7 linked regions of the Xenopus tropicalis genome follow. The protein of the gene in region 4 purifies or fractionates together with the protein of the main gene of each other region. This does not show direct contact. Links are inferred from orthologs where the notes say so. Each region holds a gene or a part of one and is shown on either strand. Other genes may lie near its edges. The genes, in order: tnrc18, sap130, sin3b, sinhcaf, ing2, sap30 and brms1l.

The links.
Region 1: the proteins of sinhcaf (region 4) and tnrc18 purify together in Homo sapiens (affinity purification with mass spectrometry; 3 studies listed by BioGRID and IntAct, counting the BioPlex papers as one, with this or other methods). This does not show direct contact. The link is inferred for Xenopus tropicalis from reciprocal best matches to the Homo sapiens genes SINHCAF and TNRC18.
Region 2: the proteins of sinhcaf (region 4) and sap130 purify together in Homo sapiens (affinity purification with mass spectrometry; 3 studies listed by BioGRID and IntAct, counting the BioPlex papers as one, with this or other methods). This does not show direct contact. The link is inferred for Xenopus tropicalis from reciprocal best matches to the Homo sapiens genes SINHCAF and SAP130.
Region 3: the proteins of sinhcaf (region 4) and sin3b purify together in Homo sapiens (affinity purification with mass spectrometry; 3 studies listed by BioGRID and IntAct, counting the BioPlex papers as one, with this or other methods). This does not show direct contact. The link is inferred for Xenopus tropicalis from reciprocal best matches to the Homo sapiens genes SINHCAF and SIN3B.
Region 5: the proteins of sinhcaf (region 4) and ing2 purify together in Homo sapiens (affinity purification with mass spectrometry; 3 studies listed by BioGRID and IntAct, counting the BioPlex papers as one, with this or other methods). This does not show direct contact. The link is inferred for Xenopus tropicalis from reciprocal best matches to the Homo sapiens genes SINHCAF and ING2.
Region 6: the proteins of sinhcaf (region 4) and sap30 purify together in Homo sapiens (affinity purification with mass spectrometry; 4 studies listed by BioGRID and IntAct, counting the BioPlex papers as one, with this or other methods). This does not show direct contact. The link is inferred for Xenopus tropicalis from reciprocal best matches to the Homo sapiens genes SINHCAF and SAP30.
Region 7: the proteins of sinhcaf (region 4) and brms1l purify together in Homo sapiens (affinity purification with mass spectrometry; 3 studies listed by BioGRID and IntAct, counting the BioPlex papers as one, with this or other methods). This does not show direct contact. The link is inferred for Xenopus tropicalis from reciprocal best matches to the Homo sapiens genes SINHCAF and BRMS1L.

What each region holds. Positions count from the first base shown.
Region 1 is NC_030685.2:46,769,248-46,773,015, reverse strand, and holds part of tnrc18 (trinucleotide repeat-containing gene 18 protein), read right to left. Parts: intron 3,444-3,768; coding exon 2,227-3,443; intron 1-2,226.
Region 2 is NC_030681.2:125,414,782-125,419,087, forward strand, and holds the start of sap130 (histone deacetylase complex subunit SAP130), read right to left. Parts: upstream 3,056-4,306; 5' UTR 2,977-3,055; intron 2,822-2,976; exon of another isoform or gene 2,803-2,821; intron 2,695-2,802; exon of another isoform or gene 2,619-2,694; coding exon of another isoform or gene 2,598-2,618; intron 2,564-2,597; exon of another isoform or gene 2,499-2,563; intron 1,706-2,498; coding exon of another isoform or gene 1,700-1,705; coding exon 1,603-1,699; intron 1-1,602. UniProt on the Homo sapiens protein: Acts as a transcriptional repressor. May function in the assembly and/or enzymatic activity of the mSin3A corepressor complex or in mediating interactions between the complex and other regulatory complexes.
Region 3 is NC_030677.2:111,975,824-111,978,858, forward strand, and holds the end of sin3b (paired amphipathic helix protein Sin3b), read left to right. Parts: coding exon 1-64; intron 65-904; coding exon 905-1,109; intron 1,110-2,011; coding exon 2,012-2,242; 3' UTR 2,243-2,388; downstream 2,389-3,035.
Region 4 is NC_030679.2:5,182,700-5,187,067, reverse strand, and holds the start of sinhcaf (SIN3-HDAC complex-associated factor), read right to left. Parts: upstream 2,983-4,368; 5' UTR 2,822-2,982; intron 335-2,821; exon of another isoform or gene 231-334; intron 1-230. UniProt on the Homo sapiens protein: Subunit of the Sin3 deacetylase complex (Sin3/HDAC), this subunit is important for the repression of genes encoding components of the TGF-beta signaling pathway.
Region 5 is NC_030677.2:45,195,176-45,199,713, forward strand, and holds ing2 (inhibitor of growth protein 2), read right to left. Parts: upstream 3,006-4,538; 5' UTR 2,978-3,005; coding exon 2,809-2,977; intron 1,164-2,808; coding exon 493-1,163; 3' UTR 375-492; downstream 1-374. UniProt on the Homo sapiens protein: Seems to be involved in p53/TP53 activation and p53/TP53-dependent apoptotic pathways, probably by enhancing acetylation of p53/TP53. Component of a mSin3A-like corepressor complex, which is probably involved in deacetylation of nucleosomal histones.
Region 6 is NC_030677.2:48,750,874-48,755,398, reverse strand, and holds the end of sap30 (histone deacetylase complex subunit SAP30), read left to right. Parts: intron 1-2,425; coding exon 2,426-2,524; intron 2,525-3,531; coding exon 3,532-3,654; 3' UTR 3,655-3,817; downstream 3,818-4,525. UniProt on the Homo sapiens protein: Involved in the functional recruitment of the Sin3-histone deacetylase complex (HDAC) to a specific subset of N-CoR corepressor complexes. Capable of transcription repression by N-CoR.
Region 7 is NC_030684.2:108,267,542-108,272,064, reverse strand, and holds the start of brms1l (breast cancer metastasis-suppressor 1-like protein), read right to left. Parts: upstream 2,965-4,523; 5' UTR 2,903-2,964; coding exon 2,767-2,902; intron 1-2,766. UniProt on the Homo sapiens protein: Involved in the histone deacetylase (HDAC1)-dependent transcriptional repression activity. When overexpressed in lung cancer cell line that lacks p53/TP53 expression, inhibits cell growth.

The sequences.
Region 1 (3,768 bases), on a different chromosome or scaffold from region 4:
TAAAAGGGGCATAGATTCACGGGAGGAGGGTGTTATTCTTCCCCTTTACAGAGCGCTGGTAAGGCCCCATCTAGAATATGCTGTTCAGTTTTGGTCTCCAGTGCTCAAACAGGACTTTATTGAATTAGAAAGGGTCCAGAGAAGGGCAACTAAGCTGGTAAAGGGTATGGAAAGTCTCAGTTATGAAGAAAGTTGGGTCTGTTTACCTTGGAGAAGAGGCGCTTAAGAGGTGACATTAACTATGTATAAATATACAAGGGGATCATATAATAAACTTTCTAATGCTTTATTTACCTGTAGGTCCTACGTACGGACACAGGGGCACCCACTCTGTTTAGAAAAAGAGAGGTTCTGTTTAAGTATTCGGAAAGGATTTTGGGTGGCTTTTTAGCAAGTAAGGGAATACAGGGTTATGGGAGATAGCTCTTAGTACAAGTTGATCCAGGGACTGGTCTGACTACCATCTTGGAGACAGGAAGGAATATTTTCCCCTCTGAGGCAAATTAGAGAGACTTCAGATGGGGGTTTTTTTTGCCTTCCTCTGGATCAACTAGAAGTTAGGCAGGTTATATATAGGCATTATGGTTGAACTTGATGGACGCACGTCTTTTTTTCAACCTAATTTACTATATTACTATGTATGAAATTTCAAAAAATCGTGCCCTATGTGCATAGGTTTACCAAACTATGTGACATGAGACACTCAAATTGATATATGTAACAAAAATAGACAAAATTTCCATGTGCAAAATGAAAGTAACAAAGAACAATGCAGAATGCAATAAAATTGCTAAAATCCAACAAAACCACTAAAATCAAGGGGCTTTTTTGCCCATTGAAATCTGCAGTCAAAATCAGTTTTAATATTTTAGCTTGGCCAAATTATGCACCTATGCAGAACTGAAAATGCAATACAATGGCTAAAAATGCAATTAAATTACTAAAAATGCACCAAAATCACCATATAAGCACCAAAATAACATACAAAAGGTATTGCACAGTGCAGTCAGCCAACACGCTAATCACAATGGCAATAACACTTTTTTTAGACAAAAAAAATCCACAAAACTGTGTAAGTGTGTGTACACAAGATCACTGCACAGTCCCTGGCTCTAAGTTTTCTAAGTATTAGGTAAGGCATTAATTAAATGTTTTGTTGTAGACTTAGTAATGGTGATCCAAACTATGGAAAAAAAAACCTTATACATTTATAAGATTTATACAGAAATCCCATGTGCCAAACATTCTGAATATTAGGTCCCATGCCATTAACATGTGCCCACCACTCATTTGTAAGACATTGGAGCAGAGAGAATCTATTGTGCCGTGGTTTTATAACTAACTTTTTGGTCAGATTCAAATCAGGTACCACATGTTATTCATAATGGTCTACATGAGAAGGGTGATTTAACTAAACAAAACAAAAAAACAACTATATTTGGTCATATACCTACTGCAAATGAAGTATGCAATTTCAGACACAATCACTGTGTTTTATACCCACAAGCACATTTATTTAAGCTGCACACCTGTAAATTTCACATCCACTGCACTAGTAGTGCAAGCAATCCGTAGGACTGGCAGGTCCTAATCCTCAGCGAAACTGTTTTTGTAATTGAGCCGCACACACAGGGAGCTTATCCCATTTATTGTGACCACCTTGATCAACGTTTTGGGGGGATACACCCTCCCTTCGTCAGGATCCCACAAGCAGCATTTTTACCCCATTTTACCAGCGTCATTTCTACATCGAGGGAGTTGTGTCAGACAATTGTGGCCAACTGCACTGAAAATTTGCCAGTTTTAATACATAAAGGTAGGTATGTAACATAAGGTGCAAAGTTTGCTTTTTCATCTAGGTAAATTTTGAGCCTTTTATTACATATGGGCTTAATACTTTTAGTAATTTACGGTTTCAAAAAGTGTTGCCAGCTTACTATAATATAAAAATTAAATGAAAAATGTAAGGGAAGGAGGAGGACAATGCCCTTCCAATGTCCTCTCCTGCACCCATGTGAGCTTTGCTTTGCACCTTTTGGTAAATTCTGAATTTGCTATTATGCTGCAGAGTGCAGCTTGTGCCTTTCATTATTACAGGTGCAAGTGCTCTTTTATCGATTTGCTTTCAAATTCAACAAAGGTTGTTGTAGGGTTGTAGTACCTGTACTGATTATACATTAATGTCATACAATCTGTATGAGAAATAGAAGGCTATAATTAAATTACCTGAGTAGGTTTCCCAAACCATTTCCAGAGTTGCCTAGCAGGCAGGAATGCAGCTATTTTAGGTCTGTTCTCTACAGATGGTAACCTTTGCCTTTTGGCAAGCTCCTTGGTTGTAGGCAAATGAATTCCTTCCCTTTTCTTAGGTGTGTTTTTGCTGCCCTTTTTCTGTTCTTGTTTTTTTTGCCTTTGATTTTGAATTTGGGGAGTTCCAGGTTTAATGGCAGGTTTTATACTCCCCTTTTGAAGAGATATTTGAAGATTTGTGGGATTTGAAGTCAATTCTTGGGTTTCATCCTCTGAAGTACTAGAAGAATCTTCATCTGTTGTTGAAGAGGACGATGAACTGGAGCTTGAGGAAGCTGAAGATGATGAACATGAGGATGAAGAAGAGGAGGAAGATGATGAGCTGGTGCCAGATGAAGACTTAGACAAGCATACAGATGTTGAAGATTGTGAACTGCTAGAGCTTTCATCTCCCTGTGCTTGCTTTTGTTTGTTTTCTTTGTCCTCTTCGCCCTCAGACTCTGAGTTGCTGCTACTGCCATCTGATTCTTCCCTTGGGTCTAGGAGTCCCTGTTTTTGATCAGATTTTTTTTTATATTTGTCTAATGAACTACTTAGGGCTTCAGAATCACAAGCTGTAGTGTGTTTGGCTAAATGAGGTTTAGATCTAGACAGCTTTTGTTTGGATTCATGCTTTACAGGAGCATAACTCACACCCATAATGCATTTTCTGGTTTTTTTCATTGTTACACTGGCATCTTCAAGCCACATCATAGCCTCCTTAGCTTTTTTAGTTTTTGGGGACATTACTCCTTCATGATCCAACTTCACAAAAAAATCATTTTCTGCTTTGCCTTGTTTTGTGGAAAGTGATACAAAGTCTCTCTGCTCTTCTAGTTTTCTAATCTTTTTTGTATCCTCTAATTGGTCAAACAAGTTTACTGTTAAATCACATGGTGGATTTCCATTTTCAACTTTCCCCAAAGTACGCCCTGTATAAATTGTTTGCTTTGCATTGCAGAGTTTAGCAGTCTTCATCTGTTCAGGCTTCCTGATTTTTGGTGTTCCGTGTGTAGGTGAATTCTCTTCTGGTATTTGAAGAATTTTTGTACCCAACTTTATGCTTGTCTGTGAACTTTCATGTTTTTCTAAACATATTTTAGTACTCAAAAGTGATTCTTTGTCAACTGTGTCTTCATTAATTATCGTTTCTCCTGTGACAAAAAAAGGCCAAAAATCCATTCAGAAGTTTTTCTCTAATCTGAAGAAGTTATAAAATCAGAAAATACGGATATACAAGAAACAAAGATAAAGATTGGGACCATTATCTAGCAAGTTAAAAAGAATCACTTGAACTTATCCAAAGGTTAAATGTATAATTAAGAATAATGTTACTAAGCAGATTTGATTAGTTGGATTAGGAATGGATAGGAATACAACATTTGTATCACTAAATATCAAAACATATAATGGCATATAAACAGCATAATGACTACCCAAACGTGTGCAGCTTTCTTCTATACCTATGTTGAAAATTAT
Region 2 (4,306 bases), on a different chromosome or scaffold from region 4:
TTACAGAAGAAAAGGCTTAGATAGTACAAGTGCTTTATAAATTGTTTTCAATAATGCATTTCAAACATCTGCATTCAGGGCAAAAAAATCTAAGAATTTTAATTTCCAACCCTAATTTCAATAAGCTACATGGTGATTTTTTATGTAAACTGTAAACTATGTAACTATGATACTTTTTTTTTTTTTTTGTTTCATTTACTTTACAATTTCGTTCTACATTAAAATCTGCTATGAGAGTATTTATTTATTATAGTATACCCATGATATTTATTGACTGAATAAATCCTGAAATACTGCCATTTGAATGTCCACTACAATTAAGTTTTCTATTGACCAATTGTAGTATAAGTAAAACAAAATGTTTCAAAATGTATCTAGTTATGTTTAATGTTTTAAAACTTTGTGCAATTGTTGCAACAAAATATATGAGCTATAACCAGCTAGCACAGGGATCCTCAAGCTATGGCCCGCTGGCCGTATCCAGCCCCCCAAGGTAATTTACCCGGCCTTGTTGCATCCTCACCCCTGGCTACTACCTGTCTGCAGACACAGCGGTGAGCAGGCAGCCGGAGGATGCAGAGGGGAGCTGGTGAGCAGGGAGTGGGAGGATGCAGCAGGAAGCGGGCCGCAGTTTGAGTTTTGAGAACAAGCGTAGTTTGAGGACTACAGTCCGGCCCCCCCAACAGTCTAAGGGACCAGGAACTGGCCCCATGTTAAAAAAAAGTTTGAGGACCCCTGAGCTAGCAGAAATGTAATTTTAAATAGAATAAGGGTTTGCACACAAGAAATACAAGCACAGTGGTAGTATTAAAAAATATAGTCTTTTATATGGTATACAAATTTTTTTTTAACAGCAGTCAATTTTAATTGCAATAGCAGAAACGTACCATTTGCTAGGCACTGAATTTATCAATATGGCAAAAAGTGAATTCTCTAAAAATTCTCCAGTACATTCAAATACACTTGGGCACATTAAAACTACTAATCAAACTGCAACATACAAGTGTCAAAAAGCAGTCTACCAGTTTTAATTGCCACAGACCAACATTATCATAGTCTTTCTTAAACTAGCATTAGTATTACTCCATAAACCTTAAGGTTATACAGATTTGGATGAGCTTGCAAATGAGTGGATCTCTTCCTTGATTTGACCATCCAAGCACTGGGCTATACTGTACTGATCTGATTGTTGGCCCTGGTAGTACTATTTAACATTGTTTTTACCCATAATGAAGGAATGCCCTATCAATTAAAAGGGAAACACCACCCATGATTTCTAAAAACCATCAGCTCTGCACCTCTAGTTATGTCAGTAATTGAGAGGTGGCAATTGAAGGCATAGATTCCTTTTTTCTGCTTTTGTGAACAAAGGCAATCATCTGAATATAGGGCAATTTATGGCATTCTAGTTCAAAGTACATTATTAGGTGTAGATGTCATAACTACTTATTTGAATCAATAGGTTTTATGAGTGTATTATACAGTATTTTCAGTTTCAGACAAACTTTGCTTTTTTTTTTTTTACATTGTAAAATATGTATCTATTGCAATTTAATACTTAAATATTATGAAGAAACAGCTTTTTCAGTTCTTTGGTGTTACCTTGTCCTTGGGGATTCTGCCCCATGGTTGCTCCACTGTTAGAAACTTGGGGAATTGACATGGATGTTGCCTGGCGGGGAAACTGTTGAGAACTCATATTCACCTGAAGGAGAGAGATCACCTAATTAATTTAATAACACTTAAAATACCATTAATTGTATACTGACAACTCGGTTTCTGAAAAGGATGCTTTTCAGGAGGAGCACTCACCCAGCACCTGATCTGGGAAATAGCACTTATATTGTAGTGTCACCCACTGTGACCTACAGCACTTATATTTGCCTATTTGTATCTGTAAGTTACCCCTCCCATATAGATTGTAAGCTCTACGGGGCAGGGACCTCCATCCTCTTGTGTCTTTGACTCTTAACTTATTGCAACTGTAACTGTATCTTGTATTTATTTGTATTTATTGTTATACTTTGTATTCATCTATTATCTTATTAACCCCCTGTTTGTATTAATGTATTCTACTGTACAGCGCTGCGTACATAAGTAGCGCTTTATAAATAAAGATATACATACATACATACATACATTTTGTATATGATAGGACTGTTTGCCTAAAAATAAAAAGGTGCCCATGGTCAGTCACTAACCCTAAAATCTATATAAGTAAGACAGTGGCAAATACCCATCAAAATACAAAGCAGGTATGATGCTATTGCCTTTATTAGCATTCACAAAATAAATTGGAGCAGTGCTGTCAATTGATACTATGTTGCACTTTGTCGCAGCAGAAGCAGTCAAATATCACCGTTGTCCTGACTGAGCCACACATATCTGGCTGCAGGACAACTATATCATACCACATACAGATATATCCCACAAAACCGTCAAATGGGAAAGCATGATTGTGAAGAGCAATGTGCAGCCCTCCAGCTAATGCTACGAACCTACAGCAGTGACTGTGAGCAGTTGTGCTACTGACGGAGCCAGACCGCTGCAGGTTGGACAACAGTATTGCGGAACGCAAAGCTACCAGGCAACATTACCCAAAGGGCCGCACGTCCCATGGCCTTGGCGCAACGATACACACTCGCACATGAAGCTTGCACCACACGTATATTTCAATTAAATCCCCATGAAGTGCCCCTCCCCCTACTTAAGTCGCACAGACAGGTTATGTCCCCGCAGTGAAAGCAAAGTCTCCTCCATTTAGGAACACATTCATAGCTCTACAACACGCGAATTTCCTACTATTGTTATATTTTAATGCCGAGGAACTCCTGACAGCCTTCAGAAGCTGTCGCCATACGATGGGAGTTGTAGTGCAGCCATACGAGTAGAGACGAAGGTATTAAATGCTTGACCTATGTATTCCTAAGTACACTATACGGGCATATTAGAGTTTTTTCAAAGTCTCTCACTTACTTTTTTTCCCGACACCTTTAATTTTAAATATTAGCACTCTAGACTGTAGCTCCGTTGTCTAGCGTCGCATTTCGCCTTCCGGTTCCGGTCTCTAGCTTTCTTTCACCTCAGTCTGACTGAACCGCGCTCGGCAACCGATCACGTGATTGGCGTCTGGCCCCGCCCAAAGGCAAGCTGAAAGGAGTCACGTTGGGTGTAGCGACTGGACGCATTGTCCTTTTCTTAGATATTTGTTTACAAACACAGCCATGGTCCGACAGGGAAAATTGCGTACAGTGTTTTCCCAAAAATGTTTTTTTTTTTATTCCTGAAGATTTAGTATAGTCTGCCTATAGAATGCCTTTGCCTTATACCAGTGATCCCCAACCCAGGGAGTTATTTTTGAATTCCTGACTTGGTGGCAAGTTTTGGTTGACTAAAACAGGATTTAGTACCAAATAACGCCCCCTGTAAGCAGATAGAGTGCATAGAGGCTGCCTAATAGCCAATCACAGCCCTTATTTGGCACCACCATGCTTGTGTTGTCTTTTTACATTTGACTATGGCTCACCTGTAAGAAAGGTTGGGACCCCTGCCTTATACCTTTACTCTGTACAGTTATAAGCATACGCCAACTTACAAGTCACAGTTTTACAGTTATGGCCATAATATTAACAAAGGAGTAAACAAGCAGACAATTCTGCTATCAGTGGGGTCTCCACTCAGACTGAAATTGTTGGATAAAACCCTAAAAATAACAAATCGGAGGATGTTCTGAACATGAAATAGTTGGCAGGCATCAATCGTACAAAAGTGACTACTTGGAAATGAATTGTAGGTCCCCCAAGTATATAATCAGATACACAATACATGCACAGATTTCATTGTTAGCCGACCAAAATTTTCTGACCTGTCCAACTAAACAACTGATCACCATGTTACAAAAATTATTATGAAGATAATAATCAGTCTGTGTATGGCCAGCTTGAGAAATCCAAGAAAAAATAGGTTACCTGAAATGAGTTCTAATGTGTAGAGCTGGTTCTTTCTGAAAGCTCAGAATCAGGCACAATGCACTGAGATAACTGCCTACACACCAATATTACAACTAAAAAAATAACATTTTAAATGGTAGAGTGAATTATTTGCTATGTAAACAGTGTAAAAAGTACACCATAAAAAACATGACAGAATAGATGTGAATGTAACCATTTTGAGACATTGGCATTCCCATAGGGTGAAGGCACATGGAGCTACTAGTAGCAGCTACTTGTCATGGCTACTAAAATAGACAATGCTGGTCTTTTACTGATAATTGTCTCTACATGTGTTTTAGCAGAATCAATTCTCG
Region 3 (3,035 bases), on a different chromosome or scaffold from region 4:
ATGTGGATGGAGCCCATAGCAGTCAGAGCGAAGGCTTTGTCTTAAAACCTGTATTGTTACAGAGGTAGGTGGGAACACAGGAATGTGCATAAATTCACATTACAAGACTACAACTTTGTTGCCTTGGGCATGCACAGACGATAAGGAAACATCCAAAGAAGAGCAAAAGTACAAGTTCGTCTTTAAGCAAAAAACAATCCTGTTGCATTAATAAAGACCATCCTACCTTAATTATTCTCATTTTACCAGTATGGTTGTGTTGTAATAGATATATAAACAGGGGAATATATAATTTTGTTTACCTCAAGCTTCTATACTAGCTACTGGCTCAGTGTGCAGTGTTTGTAGTTATGCCAAAGCTGCCATTGTCATTTAAGTTCCATACTCTGTATTTACTACATTCCTTATTACCCACCGTTAGGCCTTCTGCTTCTTGTAGTAAGCCCATTACAAAAATATTATTGCATAAACCCGGGGACACTGATGTTGGGGGTATGGCATGGAGAACAGTAAAAATGTTCATGATTTGAAAGAACAAAAGATATCTGAAATGCATTTGACCGTCTGCTAGCAAAGTTAAAGGATGGCAACATTAAATTTTACACACAGAAGATAAAAGAACAAATCTGTGTCCCTTTAGCACATATTTGAATTAGGACATAGTGGGTTGGCATTTTCTTTGCGTTGATTTTGGGCTAAACTCCGTGGGAGATTTTGTAGGATGGTGTCGGATCAACAAAACACATCCTACTAGTCGGATGTAGTGGCATGGGTCAAAATAAAATGGGACTGATGCATGGCAAGATCAGATAAAATCCAACCCACAAAATCTCCTGTGGAGTTTATCCCTTTTACTACTGGTATTAACTTCTGAATCAATTGTCTTTTCCAACCACCTTTGTAGAAATATCAGAAGTTTCCATAGCTGGCAATATAGGACTATGAGAGTTATGAAGGATGAAGTGAAGTCATCTTGGAAGAAGCTTATGGGAGTAGAAAGCGCTAGTAACATGGACTGCCGCTTCAGGCTCAACAGCCACAAAATGATGTTTATTATTAATTCAGAAGACTATATGTACCGCTGGGGAACACTTTCCGGAGCCAGAGAGGTATGCTTACAGTCCCAAGTTTCATTTTCATTCTTAGGGACAAGGAGCAGGAAGTTTTTTATTTCTCAAACACTTCAGGGTGAATGTACAGTCTTTTTATACCAGCTTTATTGGGCTTGCATTTGTAATTCATGGTTTTCAGTAGTGATGAGCGAAAGATATTACCAGAATTTGACGCAAAAAAACATCCATAAACTCCAATGGCAATAAACAAAATTTGCGTGGTGTGGAAAAAGTTGCTGCAAAAACCACAATTTGACTTCAATGCATTTGGAGTGTTTTTGCGGTTGTGACTTTTTCAACAAAGCAAAATGTGACAGATATACTCATCACAATTTTCCAATATACATTAATGAATGTGGTCTTCTGAAAGCACCATTTTAATTTCTATTTGCATTATGCAAAATACAGGTATTTACTTTGATACAGTTGCTTGACTGTAATTAAGAATATTTGGCTTTTTATTGAGCAGATCTGTACCTTAAGACAGCACAATACCCCAAAGCTAGCCCCCCCCCCCCCCTTCCTCGGATAAACTGGCAGTTGTAACTAATTCAATTTATGAGATTTCCAAAGTGACATCTGACTTGGCATGTGCTTTAAAGAGCAATTTAAACTTTATTGCCCTACACATTTTTGGAGGATAACATCACACAGCCACGGGGGTTGCCACTCGGCAACCGAACGTGTCGAGATAGAGATAAAGCATAAGCTGTCTCTAAACCAGTAGTTGCAGAATGGTTCTGGAAAAAGTTCTGTGAGGCTATAAGAAAGTAGTTTAAACTCATAGATCTTTTATTTCTTTCATTAGTTCCAGGAGATACGTTTGAATCTAATTTATAGTATTAAAAATGTAGTATTCACATTTTAACTCTCCTACCTTTTTTTTCCTTCCCTCACAGGTACAGCCACAAGTTTTCCAAAGACACCATGAGAAGTTTTCTGAATGGCACAACCGCTGGCTTGAGGAAAACGTCAGTCCAAGAGCTGCGCAAGTCATACAGGATTGGCTTACAGGAGAAGAAGATGAGGAGATGGTTCCTTGCAAGACGGTGTGTGAGAACTCTGAAGTTCATGGCATGAGTGTTACCCGATATCGGGTGCAGTACCCTCGCAGGGCTGCCTCTCCCTAACACACCCAAAAACACAGTCACATTTCTACATTTGCTGCTCAACTACATTTCATAGGGCTGGGGTTTCTTATTTTATTTTTAATTTTTTTTGGTCTTTTTTTTTTGTTTTGGTGTGCCTGATATAAACTAGAATATGCTGAACAATATTTCCAGTGCCATGAATTTCCTTGAAAAGAAGCAATTTACAGAAAATATATGGACATAACTGACAGCACTACATGAGGGAAACGCATCTGATGGGGGTGTAAAAATGAAATAGAATTAAAAAAAAAAAAAGAGAGGATAATCCCTTTGTAAACATGTAACATGCTATTAGTTATATTTTATGACAGTGTTAATGAAACACAGACACAGTAAATGCTTCTCTTGCCATAATTTTTTTTGGCAGGGAGCTCTATATACATTGCTAGAGGCTCACTGTACAGTCAGAGATAGTCACCATGTCACGTCTGACACAGTTGCTATGCTTCTAACACAATTTTTACAATGCTGTCAGTATGCACATCTCCTGAAAGAAAATAGGCATATTAGCATTAGCCCAGAATCTAAGTGACATGTATGGCAGGACACGGGTTGTCACTCTTGGATTACACAGTACCATTGTGACAGCTAGATTTTTATAACAATCATGAGCACTTAAACAAGTTGGCTTTATGTATACTAAATATGACCAATAAATGCACATGCTATGTATTGTGAGACTTTAATAGGCTCTACTATATCATCAATCTCTAAATGCCAATAAATGCCAAAACATGGGCTTACTGAGATGTAAGCCTTTGCACATACAAAA
Region 4 (4,368 bases):
AACAGGTTGCCAGCCCATAACTAGGCCAGTTACTATCACTGGGGGGCCAATGGGCAATACAATAACATTAGACATGACCCCCCTATAGAAATAAGAGCCCCCCAGCACCCCAATCTTACTGGGCCACTTCTAGATAAGAGGCACAAACTGCCCCGGATAAGAGCACTTCTCTGAGTTACTGTTACCCCCCCCCCAAAAAAAGGCATCAGTTGCCCCATGCTCCCACTCACCTTTGCCCCCGGGGGAATAAGCAGATAAATCCGATGGAGTTGCCAGGGACCAAACATAGAACTAAACAAATCCGGTAGTGAATCTGCCCCAGTAACATACCCTGCGGTGGGCGGGGCTATAGGGGCATGGGGGGGGGGGGGGGGGTGTTGTGTCTACGTGCAGCTTCCTCCCCCCCCCCCCCAGCCAAAACACCCCTCCCCCTCCTACATGCGGTCTCCCAGCCCGAACCCCCAGATCGGCAGCATGAGTGTCGTACATTGCGCCAACAACTGGCGCTACAGACGCACAGGGCTGCACACTAGCGCTACAGACGCAGAGGGCTGCACACTAGCGCTACAGACGCACAGGGCTACACACTAGCGCTACAGACGCACAGACTGCTACTAATAGCGCTGCACGTCCAGCCCGCACACCGGGGGGTTAATGTCACAGCCGGGTGTCGGTACGTGACAGTCGTGCAATTACACTAGTGCCCGGCACTCTGTATGGGACACAAGCGCCACAAAAAGCCCAACACTCACTGTATCACTAGTGGCGCAAACGGGCCCGTCACTAAGCGACACCGAGCTGATCAGCGCTGGGCACATACACAGCTCCAATGCCCTCTGTGATGCCACAGGTACCACCCAGGTAACTATAGGGCTGGGCACCCTGTCCCCCCCATACCCCACAGGCTGGAGGGCACCCTGTCCCCCCCATACCCCACAGGCTGGAGGGCACCCTGTCCCCCCCATACCCCACAGGCTGGAGGGCACCCTGTCCCCCCCATGCCCCACAGGCTGGAGGGCACCCTGTCCCCCCCATGCCCCACAGGCTGGAGGGCACCCTGTCCCCCCCATGCCCCACAGGCTGGAGGGCACCCTGTCCCCCCCATGCCCCACAGGCTGGAGGGCACCCTGTCCCCCCATGCCCCACAGGCTGGAGGGCACCCTGTCCCCCCCATACCCCACAGGCTGGAGGGCACCCTGTCCCCCCCATACCCCACAGGCTGGAGGGCACCCTGTCCCCCCCATACCCCACAGGCTGGAGGGCACCCTGTCCCCCCCATACCCCACAGGCTGGAGGGCACCCTGTCCCCCCCATACCCCACAGGCTGGAGGGCACCCTGTCCCCCCCATACCCCACAGGCTGGAGGGCACCCTGTCCCCCCCATACCCCACAGGCTGGAGGGCACCCTGTCACCCCCATACCCCGCTGGAAGGGACCCCGTCCCCCCCATACCCCACAGGCTGGAGGCACCCCGTCACCCCCATACCCCACAGGCTGGAGGGCACCCTGTCCCCCCCCATACCCCCACAGGCTGGAGGGACCAGCCCCCCCCCCATACCCCACAGGGCTGGAGGGACCAGCCCCCCCCCCATACCCCACAGGCTGGAGGGACAGCCCCCCCCCCATACCCCACAGGCTGGAGGGACCAGCCCCCCCCCATACCCCACAGGCTGGAGGGCACCCCGTCCCCCCCATACCCCACAGGCTGGAGGGCACCCCGTTCCCCCCCCATACCCACAGGCTGGGGGGCACCCCCGTCCCCCCCCATACCCCACAGGCTGGAGGGCACCCCGTCCCCCCCCATACCCCACAGGCTGGAGGGCACCCCGTCCCCCCCATACCCCACAGGCTGGAGGGCACCCCCGTCCCCCCCATACCCCACAGGCTGGGAGGGCACCCGTCCCCCATACCCAAGGTGGAGGCACCCCGCCCCCCCATACCCCACAGGCTGGAGGGCACCCCGTCCCCCCCATCCCCACAGGCTGGAGGGCACCCCGTCCCCCCCATACCCACAGGCTGGAGGGCACCCCGTCCCCCCCATACCCCACAGGCTGGAGGGCACCCCGTCCCCCCCATACCCCACAGGCTGGAGGGCACCCCGTCCCCCCCATACCCCACAGGCTGGAGGGCACCCCGTCCCCCCCATACCCCACAGGCTGGAGGGCACCCCGTCTCCCCCCCATACCCCACAGGCTGGAGGGCACCCTGTCCCCCCCATACCCCACAGGCTGGAGGGCACCCTGTCCCCCCCATACCCCACAGGCTGGAGGGCACCCTGTCCCCCCATACCCCACAGGCTGGAGGGACCAGCCCCCCCCATACCCCACAGGCTGGAGGGACCAGCCCCCCCCATACCCCACAGGCTGGAGGGCACCCTGTCCCCCCCATACCCCACAGGCTGGAGGGCACCCTGTCCCCCCATACCCCACAGGCTGGAGGGACCAGCCCCCCCCCCCATACCCCACAGGCTGGAGGGACCAGCCCCCCCGGAGCAGCCACATGGCCTCGCTGGCGGCGCCAAGCTAGTGCCACTCACCCCGCTACAGAGACACCGGGGCCCCCCAGCCCGTATGTTACTCCCCCCAGCAGCCCCGGCCCTGCAGCCCCCATAGTAGCCCCATAGGAGCCCATAGTAGCCCCATAGTAGCCCATAGTAGCCCATAGTAGCCCCATAGGAGCAGCCCCACAGCCGTGCGGTTGGGGATACAAAGTAACAGAGAGTAACAATGGGGCCGTGTAACGGGGTGTCGGAGCCGCAAAGTGCCGGGAAGTTCCCCGCAGGCACAGGGGGCAGTGTCAGGGCTGCCAGTCGCTTTCTTACCTCGGAACCCAAGTCGCAGGACACTCGGCACAGTCGCAGGTACCAAATCGCACTCCCAGGGGCCAGCGCTCAGGGGCCAGCGCCACACTCACAGCCGCACTGCGCAGGCGCCATTCCCACGCTCTTGTTCTACTCAATCAAACTCATTTGCATGGGCGCCCTGACGTCACCCTTCCCGCGTCTCCACTCGCCTTATTTGGAAGAAGGTCCGGGCGGGAAAAATCAAAAGAGGGGCGGGGCGATCACAACCATGGCAACCGGGGCTTCCAAACAACAAGGGGGCGTGGCAAAGGAGCTCAAAGACTCACAACAATGACGGTGATAGGCGCCAAGGCTGGAGTGGAAGGGATTTACAGGCTGTGATTGGTCGCTTGCCGGACTGGGTCAAGCAGATGGCGGCGGAGGGAGATTTCACAGCTATAGGAAACAATGGAGCTTCCCATAGATACACACTGACAGCTGTTGTTTGTTTTGTCTCTAATTGGGTCAAACCAACTTCACCGTGTCCTACATCTTACAACTCCCAGAATGAGTAGTAACTTCTCAGCGGAGAGGCTGTCTGGGGAGGATGCTGGGAACTGTAGTTCAGGAGCAGGAAGTCTGGGGTCCCATTCTGATGAGGTTGAGAGTTGCAGTCTGACAACAACTGGAGGGCCACAGGTTGGCTATTTGCTGTGTACTCAGCCAATGTAATGTGCCCAAGGCTAAATGCCCAGTGGGGCAACTACCAGGGGCCCAGGGAGTGCAACTGCCCCTCCTAATCTGCCCTGATACTAATACTATACCCAGTGCATCTCTATAGGGCCCTGCTCTGTAACCTCTAGCCCGGGGATGTGGCTGAACTACAACACTCAGCATTCTTCAACCAATAATCAAGAAGCAGGACATGCTGGGAGTTGTAGCCTAGCAACACCTGCTGGCCCATGGTTCAAAGACTGGGCTTTAGGCCACCGGCCCACCAGCCAATACTGCTTTGCCCATGGTTTGGGGCAAATTGCCCAAAGCTGCCCCTCCTTACCTGACATGAACATATACAAGCCAGTTCCCAAGATGGCACTGCCTCCCATAGTTCTTAAAGGGTTAAGTTAACTTTTAGTATGTTATAGAATGGCCAATTCTAAGCAACTTTTCAATTGGTCTTCATTTTTTTCTTTTTATAGTTTTTGAGTTATTTGCTTTACTCTTCTGACTCCAGTTTTCAAATGGGGGGTCACTGACCCCATCATCAAGTCAAATTGCTCTGTAGGGGTACAAAGGTATTGTTATTGCGAGTTTTTGTTACCCCTCTTTCTATTCAGGCGACCTCCTATTTATATTCCAGTATCTCATTCAAATCAATGCACGGTTGCTAGGGTATCTAAGACCATAGCAACCAGATTGCAAATACTGCAAACTAGAGAGCTGCTGAATAAAAAGCTCAATAACTAAAAAAACGCAAACAATAAAAAAATGAAGACTAATTGCAAATTGTTTTTAGAATATCACAGGTGAACAGCCCCTGTAATGCCCAATAGGTGGGATTCTGCTGGGCTGCGCCATGTACTTTC
Region 5 (4,538 bases), on a different chromosome or scaffold from region 4:
AAAACATGCAAAACTGTGTTTTATATTTATATTAAAAGGGGCATTTAGAAGCAGGTTTTATCTCCTATTTATTGTTCCACAGATAGCAAAGCATGAGGTGTTACTTCCCCGCATAACTGAATTAATATATGAGCGGGGCAACTGAACTCATTTAATATATACATTTTAATACACAGCATAGAAATAAAATGTCTGTGTGCAAAATGCCTGCATATGGCATAGGAAATGCGTTAAAGAACCTGATAATGTGGATAAAAATGACACTATTCCTACATATTAAACTACTGTATAATACACAAATTGTAATGATGCTTGTGGCGGGCCTCTGTTTTTGGAGACACTTCCATACTTTAAGAAAGTGGCAAATCCACAAAGTCACAAACGGAAAGGTTTTAATATTGCAATACTATTAAAATATGACATTGTATCTAAAACATTTTCTTTATAAGAAAACAAAAAGGAAGAAAAACAAATACACAGGGCGAACCTAAACTACCTCGACCGTCTGTCCTTTTTTGTTTTATCTGTGTTTTTGTTCATAGTCTTTTCATTGTCTCCTCTGCAGTCAGGACAATACCATTTGCCCTTTGGTTTGTAGGTAAGTCCAACACAAGAGAAATGGAACCACTCTATGGTGCACTCGTCATTATCACATCCTATCATCTCACCATAAGACACCTGATTGCACAGACAGTACGTGGGCTCGTTGGGGTCAATTGCAAAAGGTATAGGGGATGCCTCTCTTTCTTGCTTGGCTTTGGAACGTTTTTTCTTTTTGGACGACTTTGATTTCTTTTCTTTTGGTGGCTGCTCTTCGATGTCATCCATCCCATTGACCATGTGACATAACTCCCGGCTCTCGCTGTTGCGCTGCCTGCGAGGTCTACGTGTAGACCTTTCAGATGCATTTGATTCAACTTTAGATTTTTCCACAGACTTTTCACTCTCTTCTTGATCAAAGAAGCCTTGGCAGAGAGATTCCATTTGCTTCGTCCTGTTCTCTATCAACTCAAACACTTGGGTAACTAGCTGTATTTTATCATCGCCAAGCTCCTGGGTCACAATGAGGGCTCTCTGAAGCTGCTGCAAGAGTCGCTTTTTCTGATTAGCATCAGTTTCATTTGAATGTTTTTCAAAAACATCATCAACTTCTTTTAGAGCTTCTGGAAACAGAACCAAAAAAGTTATGTAGTTAATATTAAGGGTGAGCTGCAAATCTGCATTACCTGCTGCAGGCTAGTCCTGTGCTCTGGCAAGTTCAGCAGCTGTACCATAGCTAGTACCAGAGGCAACTGTCCCTCAACATTAGCAGAACCTCAATAAGTTGTGGGCAGTCTGGAAAACTGCAGGGGCTGCACACCTCATCTCTGTCACAGAGCTGGCACTGCCAACCCCAGCCTTCAGTGAACACAAATCAAACGAGCAGATTGTTAGGGATGTAGCTAAAGAAAGAGCAGGCTGGTGAACATAGGCCTACATTGCGACTACTGTAAAGCAAGCGCTGAGAACTCATCGAGATTTTACGATTTAAGCAAGTGACATGATCTGATGCATTCCAGCCAGTGTCTCCCCGACACCAAGCCCTTGTATGTAGCACCCCCAAACCAACTCCTTGCGCATATCCAGTGCACCCCCCATTTGTCTAACAAGCCAAACGCAGCTCCTCTAACTGGCCACAGCCTGTTACAGCCCGCCCCCCGCGGCCCCGCCTCCATTCTTGTTAAAAGCCGAGACCAGTAGCGCCTCCCCCTCTTTCTCTATCCAGTCTTTGCGCCAGCCCGCTATCCGTGTCCCTACCCACTGCGCCTCGCTCCTCCCATCTAGTCAGGCTCCTCCCTTCCCAGCCTTGTTGCTTCCACTGTGACTGGCACCTCCCCTCCTCCCTCTCGCCCCGCCCACTAGCCATTAATATAACCTCCCTGTCTTATGCTTCTTCGCCACCGCCCATTACAATATCGGGCCCCTGCTCACCCAATGAGAACAGACTCATTTGTACAACTATAACTCTCAGTAGCCATTTGAAAGCGCAGTATAGCAAACAGCTTAGAACCATTTATCTGCGCTGCCTGTTCCCTACCCTTAGCTCGTATGTGCCTTATAAGCCCGTCTATTCATAGAAACCCTCTCCTCCCCTATGCGGCCCTTCTTTCTGATTTCCGCCTATACCAGAAGTGGCCGCCCCCGGATATGACGTTGAGTCCGCTCCCTCCCCCCCACCGATCACTGACAGCGCCGAGCGCTTCCCCACTGTAAGCCCCAACCCCACACATTACAGCACAAAACTCCCCAGCCCGCCTGTTACAATGGCACATATACGCCGCAACCGTCCCACAGGGAGATAACGGCCTTCCAGAAGTTATAGAACTACAACTCCCAGCATCCCCCGTAAATCTAGCCACCGCTGGGAGAATGTAGTTGTTTTAACATCTGAAGGGCCGCAGGTTGGCTTGCCTGCTAGCTGCAAGGGGCTCCCTGGACAGTTGGGTTATAAAATCTACACGACAAACAAACTGTTGCTTACCTACAGCTCCCATCAGCCCCGAACTGCCAAAGGCTGGGTGTCGATGGGATGTAGTTCGGCGAGATCTAACTTGAAAGCTCGCTACACAGGGGAGAGGGGTGCCGCCACGTGTAGGGGACCCCGACAGTACACTTTGGGGGGCTAATAACCCAGAAGCCCTCGCTGCGCCCGCCTGCCCTACTAGCACAGCCCGAATCTGCTTGCGGAGGGCCGATAGGAACAGTCACTGCCCCCCTCTAGCATGACGGGATCATCCCTTCCCCCTACAACACTGACAAGCAACTCACCCCGGTACTGGCTATCGATCTCCCGTAGCAAAGTGACGCTCCTCTGGATTTCCAACGGCAACGACTCCACGCACTCCAAGTACTCCTCCACATAGCTCACCAGCTGGCCGTCCTCCGCCGCCGAGCTCCCCGGGGAGTAGTGCAAGTGTTGCTGTTGTTGCCCTAACATAGTCCCCCAGCATAAGCATTCAGCACAGCACTAGCGGAGCAGCGGGACCGAGTAATACCGAAACACAAGCTGAGACTCCAAGCTCCCCCCACACTCGCACTGCTGAGGAGTTATCGAAGAGGAGGGGGCGGAGCTAGCACAGGAGGTTCCTGCCCCGGTAGTAACGTGCTAACTCCACTACTGCTCTCTCGCTCAGGCCGCATTCCAATTTGGAATCCAGCGGGCCGAGGCAGGACACTGCGCATGTGCGCCACTTCACCATATAAGGCTCTACGATTTATTTTGACCCCCATTTAATGGTGTTTGGATTTCCCGCATTTCACCCAGCCTGACGCTGATTGGACGTTCAAAGGAAGATAGGGAGGGGGAGCAGGTGGGATGTAAGCGGCAAGCCACGCCCCTTACTTCATTTTTTATTTTTACATTTCCTGTACCTAGCCCGGTAATCGTTTGCATATATTTGTGAAAAGCGGCTGCCGGGCCGCAGGTCCAGGCCTGGTGTGATTCCTACATATAGGGGTTCGGATGCACATTGTGTGGGGACGCTAGCTGTCACTTCCTGGTGTGGCCATGACTACCATGCCCGTGTGTGTATGGGGGTTGTTGAAGTAGTGATGGATGCTAATCCGTGTGTGTGATGTGAGGGGTTGGCGCTGTTACTGTATGGTGCCAAGCAATGGCCTTTCTCACTGATGTCTTGACAAAGTTGGGTTATGGTAACTGTACTTTCCTTTCTTTAGGTTGCCTTGTGGTGCATATAGCCCTCCTGTACTTGCCCTACCTTAGCTTCCCTATTCCTACAGGCGGGGCTGAAGAATGATTTCATTTCATCACAATCCTCATTATTTAATAAGTAGCAGGAGAAAGTTATGCATGCTTTGCAATTTAATTTAATAAACGGGGTTTTTACAATGAATGGACATACATGAGCTATGGAAACATTCATATTACAGGCTTCTGCTTTCAAGAGCTCACACTCTAAAGTCAGGAGGCACAACTGATACATGTTGTTGAAAAGTGTTGGTAATGATTTGTTATTGTATATTCACTTTTAAATTCAGTTCCAGTTTCCATATCTAGATAACATTAGTGATTTTTGCAGAGTTTAGGGACTCCCTTAATTTGATTGAATTAGCCTGATATCACCCACCCGTAGGTGGGCATATCGGGAGAAGGTCCGCTCACTTGGCAACCTGGCAAAACGAGCGGATCTTACTCTAACTTATTCTAACTTGTAGGTGACTGTACTAATACCAGGAGGAACTGAATGCATAGGTGAGAAGGATATAAGATAGGTTCCAATGCAATAATGTAAGTGCCTAAAATTGAAATTGTCTTTCTTCCTATGCACAGGTATACAGCAGAGGAAACAAGCTCTTTCTGACTTCCTATTCAGGGCAGGAATACAAAGTAAGACTTGGGCCTGAATTGTAACATTTTATTTGTGTTGGAGAGTAAATCCAACTTCTAGGAATAAAGATACAATAAACAAAAAAAGTTACAATGTAGCATTTCCCATTACATCTATTCATACAGTGCTGTGTGACTGCAGACTCTTGGG
Region 6 (4,525 bases), on a different chromosome or scaffold from region 4:
GATAAACATCAGTCACACATTACTGCTGAGCTGCAAGTTGGAGTGATATCACCCCCGTCTCAGCAGCCAATCAGCATTAAAATGGGAAGGCAGCAAGATAGCAGCTCCAAGTAGATATCAGAATAGCACTCAACAATAAGAAATCCAAGTCTGGCTTAGGACTCCTCCAGATACATGGGAGTAGGAGAAACAGTAGGTTATCTGAAAGTATTTCTAAGAGTAAGAACCCATGGAGTGAGTTACTCGTCTGTGATAGATTTCTGCTATGGCGGGCAGGTAACCGTTCCGAAAAAAGGGTTTCCACCGGCAAAGAGGAAACTTGCGCGAGTTTGAAAAACCAAGTAATGTGAATGGCTTTCCACCGAAGACTTCTATTGTTGCCAGTGGAAACCCTTTTCGGAGTGGTTAATCACCCGCGATAGCAGAGATCTATCGCAGGCAAGTAACTCACTCCATGGGTGAGTACTCCATGGGTTCTTACCCTAATTTGTAGCGCTGGCTCCTTCTGAATGCTCAGACTCGGGTACATTGCACTGAGATGGCTGCCTACACACCAATATTATAACTAAAAAAAATATATTTGTTGGTTGAAAATTAAAATTTTGAATAGTAGAGTAAATGATTTGCTATGTTAACAGTGTCACTTAGAAATAAAAAGTACACCATAAAAATCATGACAGTATCCCTTTAAAGGGATATTGTCTGTCTGTTTTCTGTTTATGACTCATTTTGATGGGGTTCAATGTCCAATTTTCAGCCTTACCATGTTTAATTTTTGAGTGCACTGTTTTATTCTCTATTATTCAATATTCTGGCACTGTTTTATTCAATATTGTTCAATATTTTTTATTCTTGATTTTGAGTAGTGGTTTCCAGAGATCAGTAGATATATGTTGATGATAAGTCTGATGACTTTGTTACCCTTTCTACCTCATTTCACATCTAAGGGCACTGGTATTCTTTAGAGATTCCAATTTTTCTTCTACTCATGTGATTTCCAGCTCCGTGTATGGCAGTTGCCCTTCCATTGACCTAAATAGGAATACCCTGGGCCCTCCCACCAGAGATTTACATTTTTGCTGGTGAGAAATGATTTGCAGGAGCAGCGCCAATCCTGGGTCTGCTGCTGCCTGATGCAGCAGCCCCAATGCCACCCCCTTGCACCTTGCTTACAACTTTAACATCAAAAGGGGTTCAGAGGGGGCTGTATTGCTATAAAACTTTCTGCACTAGCAGAGACAAATTTTCATTTTAAGATCAGAAATTGGGCTCTTAAAGTTACCAGCTTTTTGACGCCCATGGTAACTAGCCACTTTCTGCCGCCTAAGGCAAGGTTCTCACTTTATCAGAAAAATATCCCAAACTCAACACAACATGTCAGTTTAAAAAATCACATTTTAATTCAAATATCCAAATTAAAAGTATACAGACCCCACAAAGTGCTGTCTTACGCGTTTCGTACCCATCCAATATTTAGTCATAGGCTGTTGTCCTATGACTAAGTACCGTATGGGTACAGGACATGTAAGGCGGCACTTTGTGGGGTCTGTATGCTTTTAATATGGATATTTGAATTAACTCTGGTCCTTCTTTTTTGACTGGCCATTTGAAACCCTTATAAATATAAAAAATTGTATATTAAAGGTTCTCACTTTGCCTCATGGCAGGATTGGCCTTGTGCAGGAGACTAGTTGCCTGTGGTAATCTTGTCATGTATCATTGCCCCAAGTCAGCAGCTTATCTGCCCATGTATAAACTCCCTGATAGTCTCCCCCACAGATATCTGTCTGGTTTAAAATTCCTGTTAGGTGAGGACTGCATAGGGATCTGCTATGATCCAAGCCAAGAGGCCAAATGATGAGATCAGCCCAATTAGGCCCAGTATGTAGGTGGGCAAATGAGCAGATCTTTAGGTGTATGACCACCTTTAGACTCATGTTACATATTACATGTGGTGTATGCTCTGCCAGTGAACAAGTACCTGAAATAGAGTAGCCAGTCATTTGGTTTTAAGGTAAACAGCCCAAAAACATACCAAATTTACCTGATGGCGGGCGGTTTCAATTAAAACCTTCCCGGTGAGAAAAACTATGCAGAGAATATGCCACACACGCCATAGCAATGGATATGTTTTCAGCTTAAGAGCCATCTTTCTAAAGCCGTTTTCTCTTGTCCTAATCTTTATCCTAGACTACACTATAAAACACAGCCAAAATATTTAGCAACTTATGGTAATGTCACTAAAGTGTCTGTGCTAAAATAAAATCCATTATATGTTATTGCTTTGCCAAACACTGCTTTGAAGGTCACTTCAGCATTTAGGAGCCTTCTGATGATATTGCGAAAGCAATAAAAACAGTCTGCATGCAGTTGCATTTATTGTACAAGTGGCCATAAAACTCAAAAAACATTTTGTTCATTCCAGGTCGATTTGTTTCAGTTGCAAGTAAACACACTAAGAAGATATAAGCGACATTTTAAACTTCAAGCAAGACCAGGGCTAAATAAAGCTCAGTTGGTGGAAGTAAGTACAACAGGTTAAAATGAATATTATCACTGTAACCTTATAGGAACTATTATCAACTCATTCAGTCATTTCTTACTTTTTATTTATTTTGTTTTATTAAGTATGTTAGGGTTTTTTGTTTGTTCTTCCCCCAAAATACCATTCATACAGCTATCTGATCAGTAGGGTAATTGACCTTAGCAAGCAGATTACAATGACATTTTATAAAAACAGAAATTTTTTAATGAAACTCTGTGATCATTTATCCTTGATTAGACCTTTCTAGGTACCAATTTAGCAGATCAAACTGTGGTGTGATTGCACTACTGGGGTTTGGCCAAAATTCCACTTATTGACTTCCGTTCACATGCAGAGTAATCAACTATCGCAGCAGCCCGGCAATCTACAGTTGGTTGAGTTGCAGACCAGATTGTATGCATGCTTGCATTTTACCAGGGATGGCTGTTTGCTCCTCCTGGTAAGGTGCCACCTTGTCTTATGGCAAAGATACCCTCATAGATTTGGATTGATGTGTTATTTCTATAAGTGTCTGTAAAACAACTCATCAACAATCTATTAAAGGCTTATTCACTTTTAAGAGTGTGAATTGGTACCCCTTGGGGGACCTTTGTGGCAGTTGCCCCAGTGATGATAAGGACCAGATTCAATTCAGTAATAAAAGGATTTCCTGATTTAGTTCTAGATTTTCCCATAGACTTCAGTGGTGTTTTTCACATCATATATCAGGAGATATGGCCCTAAGATCACTTAGCTGTTCCCAAAATTCCAGACATTTGGATAGCTGCCTCTACCTTTAGATGACCAGTTCAGTTATTTTGCTTACTGACCCTAGCATTCAGGCAGAGGTCTCAGTAACAGGCTGGAAGATAAAAAGAAGATTCAGAACATTCACAGTGATATATATATATATATATATAGAATGTATGTATAATATATAGGTTAATGATGCAATCTAAATTTCACGGTTTCATGAAAGTCATTTTGCATTTTTTTTATTCTTTTAGATAATTGGATGCCATTTCAGGACACTTCCTGTAAATGAAAAGGACACATTAACATATTTTATCTGCTCAGTGAAGAATGAAAAGAACAAATTGGACCACAAGTCTGATGGTGGTCTCCATTAGAACATAGGAGTGGTTTTATGGACATTTAGACCTGCTGGAGATATCGGCAAGCTCTGCTATGGAATAACATCTGTAAATAAAATAGTTTATTTTAGTGCTTTTTTGTGGAAGCTGTATATGTTGCAATCTCAAAGACTGAAATTTATTACTTAAAAAAAAAAAATTGAAGGATGTCTAAAAGTGCATGTGACTGTTAAAGGGCAATTTAACTACAAAGTGACTGATGTGTCTGTATCTAGTGCAATAATTTCACTCACAATTAACTCCTGGCCATGTGGAAGTTCATGTCGTATCACCTCTTTTTAACATTGCATCTGACATCTAACCTGATGTTCTGAGGTAAGTCAGCATAGCCACAAAACCGCCATGGTAGGAAGAATTAGTGTTATCATATTATCACATAAGCATCGTTCTGCCACAGGGTGACCATAAATTGTTTGGGTGAGAATTAATGATGGCATTGTTTTAAGTTTGCAGCAAGTTAGGGTATCATTGAAGGATTATAATGATTGGTTGGTATGATTTGAATTGTGATCCACAAAACAAGAAGATGAAACATTTTGGCAAGGTTTCTAGGGAGATTCCAAAAAGTGTTCACAGACAATTGTCCTAGCTGTCAATTGTTGACTTTGCCATAAAGGGCGTTATTTGTCCAAATGGGATGACTTCTTTTGGCTATATGATCACTGTGGTAAATTGTCCCTTTATAAACAATATTTATAATTTTATAAACAAATAATTGTACTTTTGGAATGTTTTTAAAGGCTGCTGTTATGTGTAAGTATCTATAGAACGTGTGACAGCCTTTAGTATCCAAAGGGAAACATACATGGAACCTAGCATCATTTTTTGTAGCACTTGTAAAATGTAG
Region 7 (4,523 bases), on a different chromosome or scaffold from region 4:
TTTTTCTTGAGTTAAACAGGCAAACAGAGAGATTGAGCCTACTCCATGTTTGGTCTTTGTGAAGTAGATAATTAGATTACCACCATATAATCCTCTCCATTCACCACTATACCTGTTTTGTTAGCAGGAGTCCATTATGCAAGGGGGGGGGGGGGGGAGGGGATTATATGTGCACTGGAAATCTAAATGATCTCCCTTGCTAGGACCAACCATAGAGTAGCTTCAATTTCCCCATTTGCCTTGTTTAGCTCAAGGAATTACAAAATATGTAGACGCTTGTGATTAAAACAATAGGCAAAAAGTATGTTTGGCATAAGCCCCATTCAAAGAACTCATGTTGAACAAAGGGGTACACCTCCCCATTTAAAGAAGAACAATGCCTTTTATATAAACATATGTAATTTTCCCAATTAGACAGCAACATTTTGAGCCCTTTTATTATGTTCACAGAATATTTTCCTCTAGAGAGTAAATGGAAATATCGATAGGGCAGAGAGAGAAGCCATACATTTACAGACAATTTTTACACAAGGTAATTTACCACTACTACAAGTGAAGCGTTGTATGTACCCACAGGCATCTGTCGGTCAGGAAGGAATTTTAGTCTGGAAGCTAAAATAGCTCTTTCAAGAAGCTTACAAATACTAGTGATGGGCAAGACAAAAATCATGTACAATCCAACATCCAGCAGACCAATCAATCAATGTAGGTGTGAGCTCCTGTTTCTTGCTAATGAAAAGGCCTCAGTATCTCAGCAAGCACAAAAAAGAACAGGTTTACATTTCTAGACTCCAAAACACATTCCTTCTCTACATAAATTCATGCCCTGCCTGCAGAAGGACTAAGGGTAATGTCCCATAAGGAGATTAGTCGCCCACAATAAATATCTGCTACTGTGGGCAACGAATCTACCTCAGAAACTGTTTTACTGGCAATAAAGGGAATCACCTATGGAAAGGCTTATGCATTGCCTTTCCACCAGCAATTCATATTATTTGGATATACATGTGAATAGCCAAACAGTACTGTTTGGCCCAAATAAACTGACCTTTGCTGCAGCTACTTTGACTTACAATATGCCAATGCATCAAACATGAGCTAAGGGGGCATCTAAAGAGAATGTGTGGCCAACTTAAGTGATGGAGCAAAATTTTGTAAACATCTGTATTGTTTGTGGTGCTTTACAGAGGTCCTCTGTTTATGGGTTTTCAGCATGCACATGATGAGATAGATAGACAGACAGACACCCAAAGCAAATGGTAAAATTCTCAAATGAACAAGATGATCTGAATGGAAGAGAAAGGGGCAGCCTACATCAGAGTTCTGTGGGCCTAGGTTTGCAGACAGGGCACTATAAGCAAAGTTGGTTTTCTTCCAAGAGCTAAAACCATGCGGGCTAATTGGCTCCTGATACAGCTTATTTTTGAATTTCTGGTTTTGATTGCATAAACCCCAGTGTAATTGCCAAACAGATCCTTCTGTAGGCTTCCAGTCAACATAGGGGCTATCAAATAGCCAATTATAGCTCTCATTGGCACCTCCAGGAACTTTTTTCATGCTTATGTTGCTCTACAAAACTTTTTCCATTTGAATGTGGCTCATGGGTATAGAAAGTTGGGGATCCCTGATTTAATGACTTTAATGTCTTTTATATTTAAAAATGTGTCTTGGAGAACTCTCCCCTATAAATGTGGGGGAGAATCAGCCTGCGAGACCTGTGCTTTGGTCGAGAGGCGATCCCCCTGCATAATGTTTTCCTGCTTCATAAGCACAGACAAGGGCTGTATCCTGGTAATTCATCTTTAGTTACTCTAAACTTTAGTTTCCCTGTTTAGCTCAAGTAATAATAAAATCCATAGATTTTTTGTGATTAAATCAATAGGCAGTGTTCAACACAAGCCTATTCATTGCACTAGTGCAGAGGGGGGTTCACTGTCTCTTTAAACCAGTGATCCCCAACCAGTGGCTCCGGGGCAACATGTTGCTCACCAACCCCTTGGATGTTGCTCCCAGAGGCCTCAAAGCAGGTGCTTATTTTTTGAATTCTTGGTTTGGAGGCTGCCAGTCCACATAGAGGCTATCAAATAGCCAATCACAGCCCTTATCTGGCACTCCCATGAAATTTTTGAATGCTAGTGTTGTTCCACAACTATTTTTACATTTAAATGTGGCTCATGAGTCCAAAAGGTTGAAGATCCCTGCTTTAAACTAACATCTGAAGAAGGATCTCACAAAAACATTGACTGTCCATTAAGTTTCTATCTCTATCTTACCTATAAACAATTGCTACATTACAATATGCCTTTAGCACTTGTTTCCTACCCCAAGAGGCACCTTTGATAATGGGACCTAAGATGTAAATGGCTACTGACACACTGATACGTTCTATGAATGGAAATCAATGGCACCGATACACAGGGAAGGATCACTGTTCTGAGGGGAATCACATCCAGCATGTGCCTTGCCTGTCAAGATGTGAGGGGGGTTGCCTCATATTGAAAAGACAGAGCTTCCATAACCAAGAAGTCCCTGTGAATAACTGCACCACAGCACAGCATTGCTTTGCGGCAAAGGAAGAACAGCAAAGCGCCTTTATTCCACTGGTGGCCGCTCTATCACTGAACTAGCCAAGTACCAGGGATCCGCAGGATGTGAAATCCCTGAGCCCGCAGCCGTCCCACCATGAAACAACTAGCGGCCACAGGCGGTAGTGCAGCCGTGTAGATGTGCGTGTTGCGAGCAGTGTTGGAGCAGTCAGCTGCTTACCCGAGCTGTCTCCCTCTTCGCTCCCGCTGGAACTATCCGAATCGTCCTCTTCGGAACTAGTGCCTTCATTTTCCGGATAGTCAACCTCCATATCATTGTGGTTACTTTCCTTCTTTTCCCGTGAATGAACCGGCATCTTCGCTTTCACTCCCTCCGTCCTAAAACTGCGCCTCTCCGGACCCCAATTTCCACCCGCGCCGGCACCCACCTTTCCTTTCCTATTGGCCACTCTACGGTACTATATTTTTAGCTCCGCCCATATATCATTCGTTCGCGCTTACGATTGGCTTAAGAGCACGCATCATTTACTAGCCATAGGCCACAGCAAAACCCTTCCGTCGCTTATTACTCGCTCCTACGTTTCCATGAAAGAACAAGGGCGGACCCTGCGTCTTGCTGGGAAATGTAGTTTCGTCTTTATTACTTACTGGATGACACGGCAGGAAATTTGACTACAAATTCCGAAGGCCATTGCGAGGCAGCGTGCTTTTTCGGGCGGTTTATAAACAGAGAAGACGTCAGGCTATAGTAATCAACCACCTTTGTTCCTATCAATTTGAAGCTGTACTTTATAGAAGCCTAGGTTTGGTAGAGGTTTAATGGATATTTAGTATTAGTGTCCATCCGGTCGAATAGGATTTCGGCTGTGCATGTGTGGGATCTGTTATCCGGAATGCTTGGGATTTTTGGACAAGGAGTCTTTATGGAGTACCATTCCCAAAGGCTCCTAAAGAACACTAAGTAAGACCCAATATGATTAATTTGGATTTCTGCAGCTTAGTTATGATCAAGTACACAGTACTCTTATTATAGAGATAAAGGAAACATTAAAAAAAAAGAAAGAAAAATAATTGCTTGTTTAAATAGGATTCCAAGGGAAGTGGCGTTCCAGTATTTTGGACATTTTTTAATAATGGGTTTCTGGATAATAGATACCATGAAACGGCTTTGCTTTTGTAACTCTTTTAAATGTATATTTCATTTAACATTGTGTCCTTTTATAGGGATATAATGGTGCAGTCCAGGATTTCTCATCATCATTAATACCTAATTTCTCATCATTGCAAACAAATGCACATTTCGACATAGGCACCCAAAGACACGTGCACAACATTCTTTTTGAAATCTGGGCGCTCTGAGGCTGCCCCCCATTCACCAATACCGCCCCCCCCCCCCCGTGCGCATGTTCGAACAAACCTCTCTTCCCCCCCCCCCCCCCCCCCACTCCCATACAGAGAAGTGGGGAGTAAGCACTATGGAGAGATCATCTTCCTGCGTCTCCCTTTTTTGCTCTGGGTGTGAATGCACAGTATGAAATGCCAAGCTTTTACTAAAAAGCAGGGTTTTAGGGTTTTTTGTTTGTTTTTTTACTCTGCTGTGCATGTGTCAGCCTGGGGTCATTAAAGAATGAAGAAGTGGAAGAAAGCAAATGCTCTGCAGCACTCCCTCAGAGATCCGCTTGTTTGGTCCTGTTGCCAAAGAAGCAGCCCCGTTTTGACCACCCCTCAGCGGTCCAAATTGGGCTGATCTGACCTAGCCAATGGTCAGAACATACTGCAGACCTATAGAGACCCGTAACTGTAGATTAAAACAGGTATAAAATCCTTAAAATTGCTTTGTATCTATCCTATGTATGTTAACAGTCCTTTAATACATTAGTACCCACTACATCTAAAGTAAGGCTATTTAAAGGAGAAGGAAAGGTAAAAACTAAGTAAGTTTTATCAGAAAGATCTATGTAAATACAGCCATAAGCA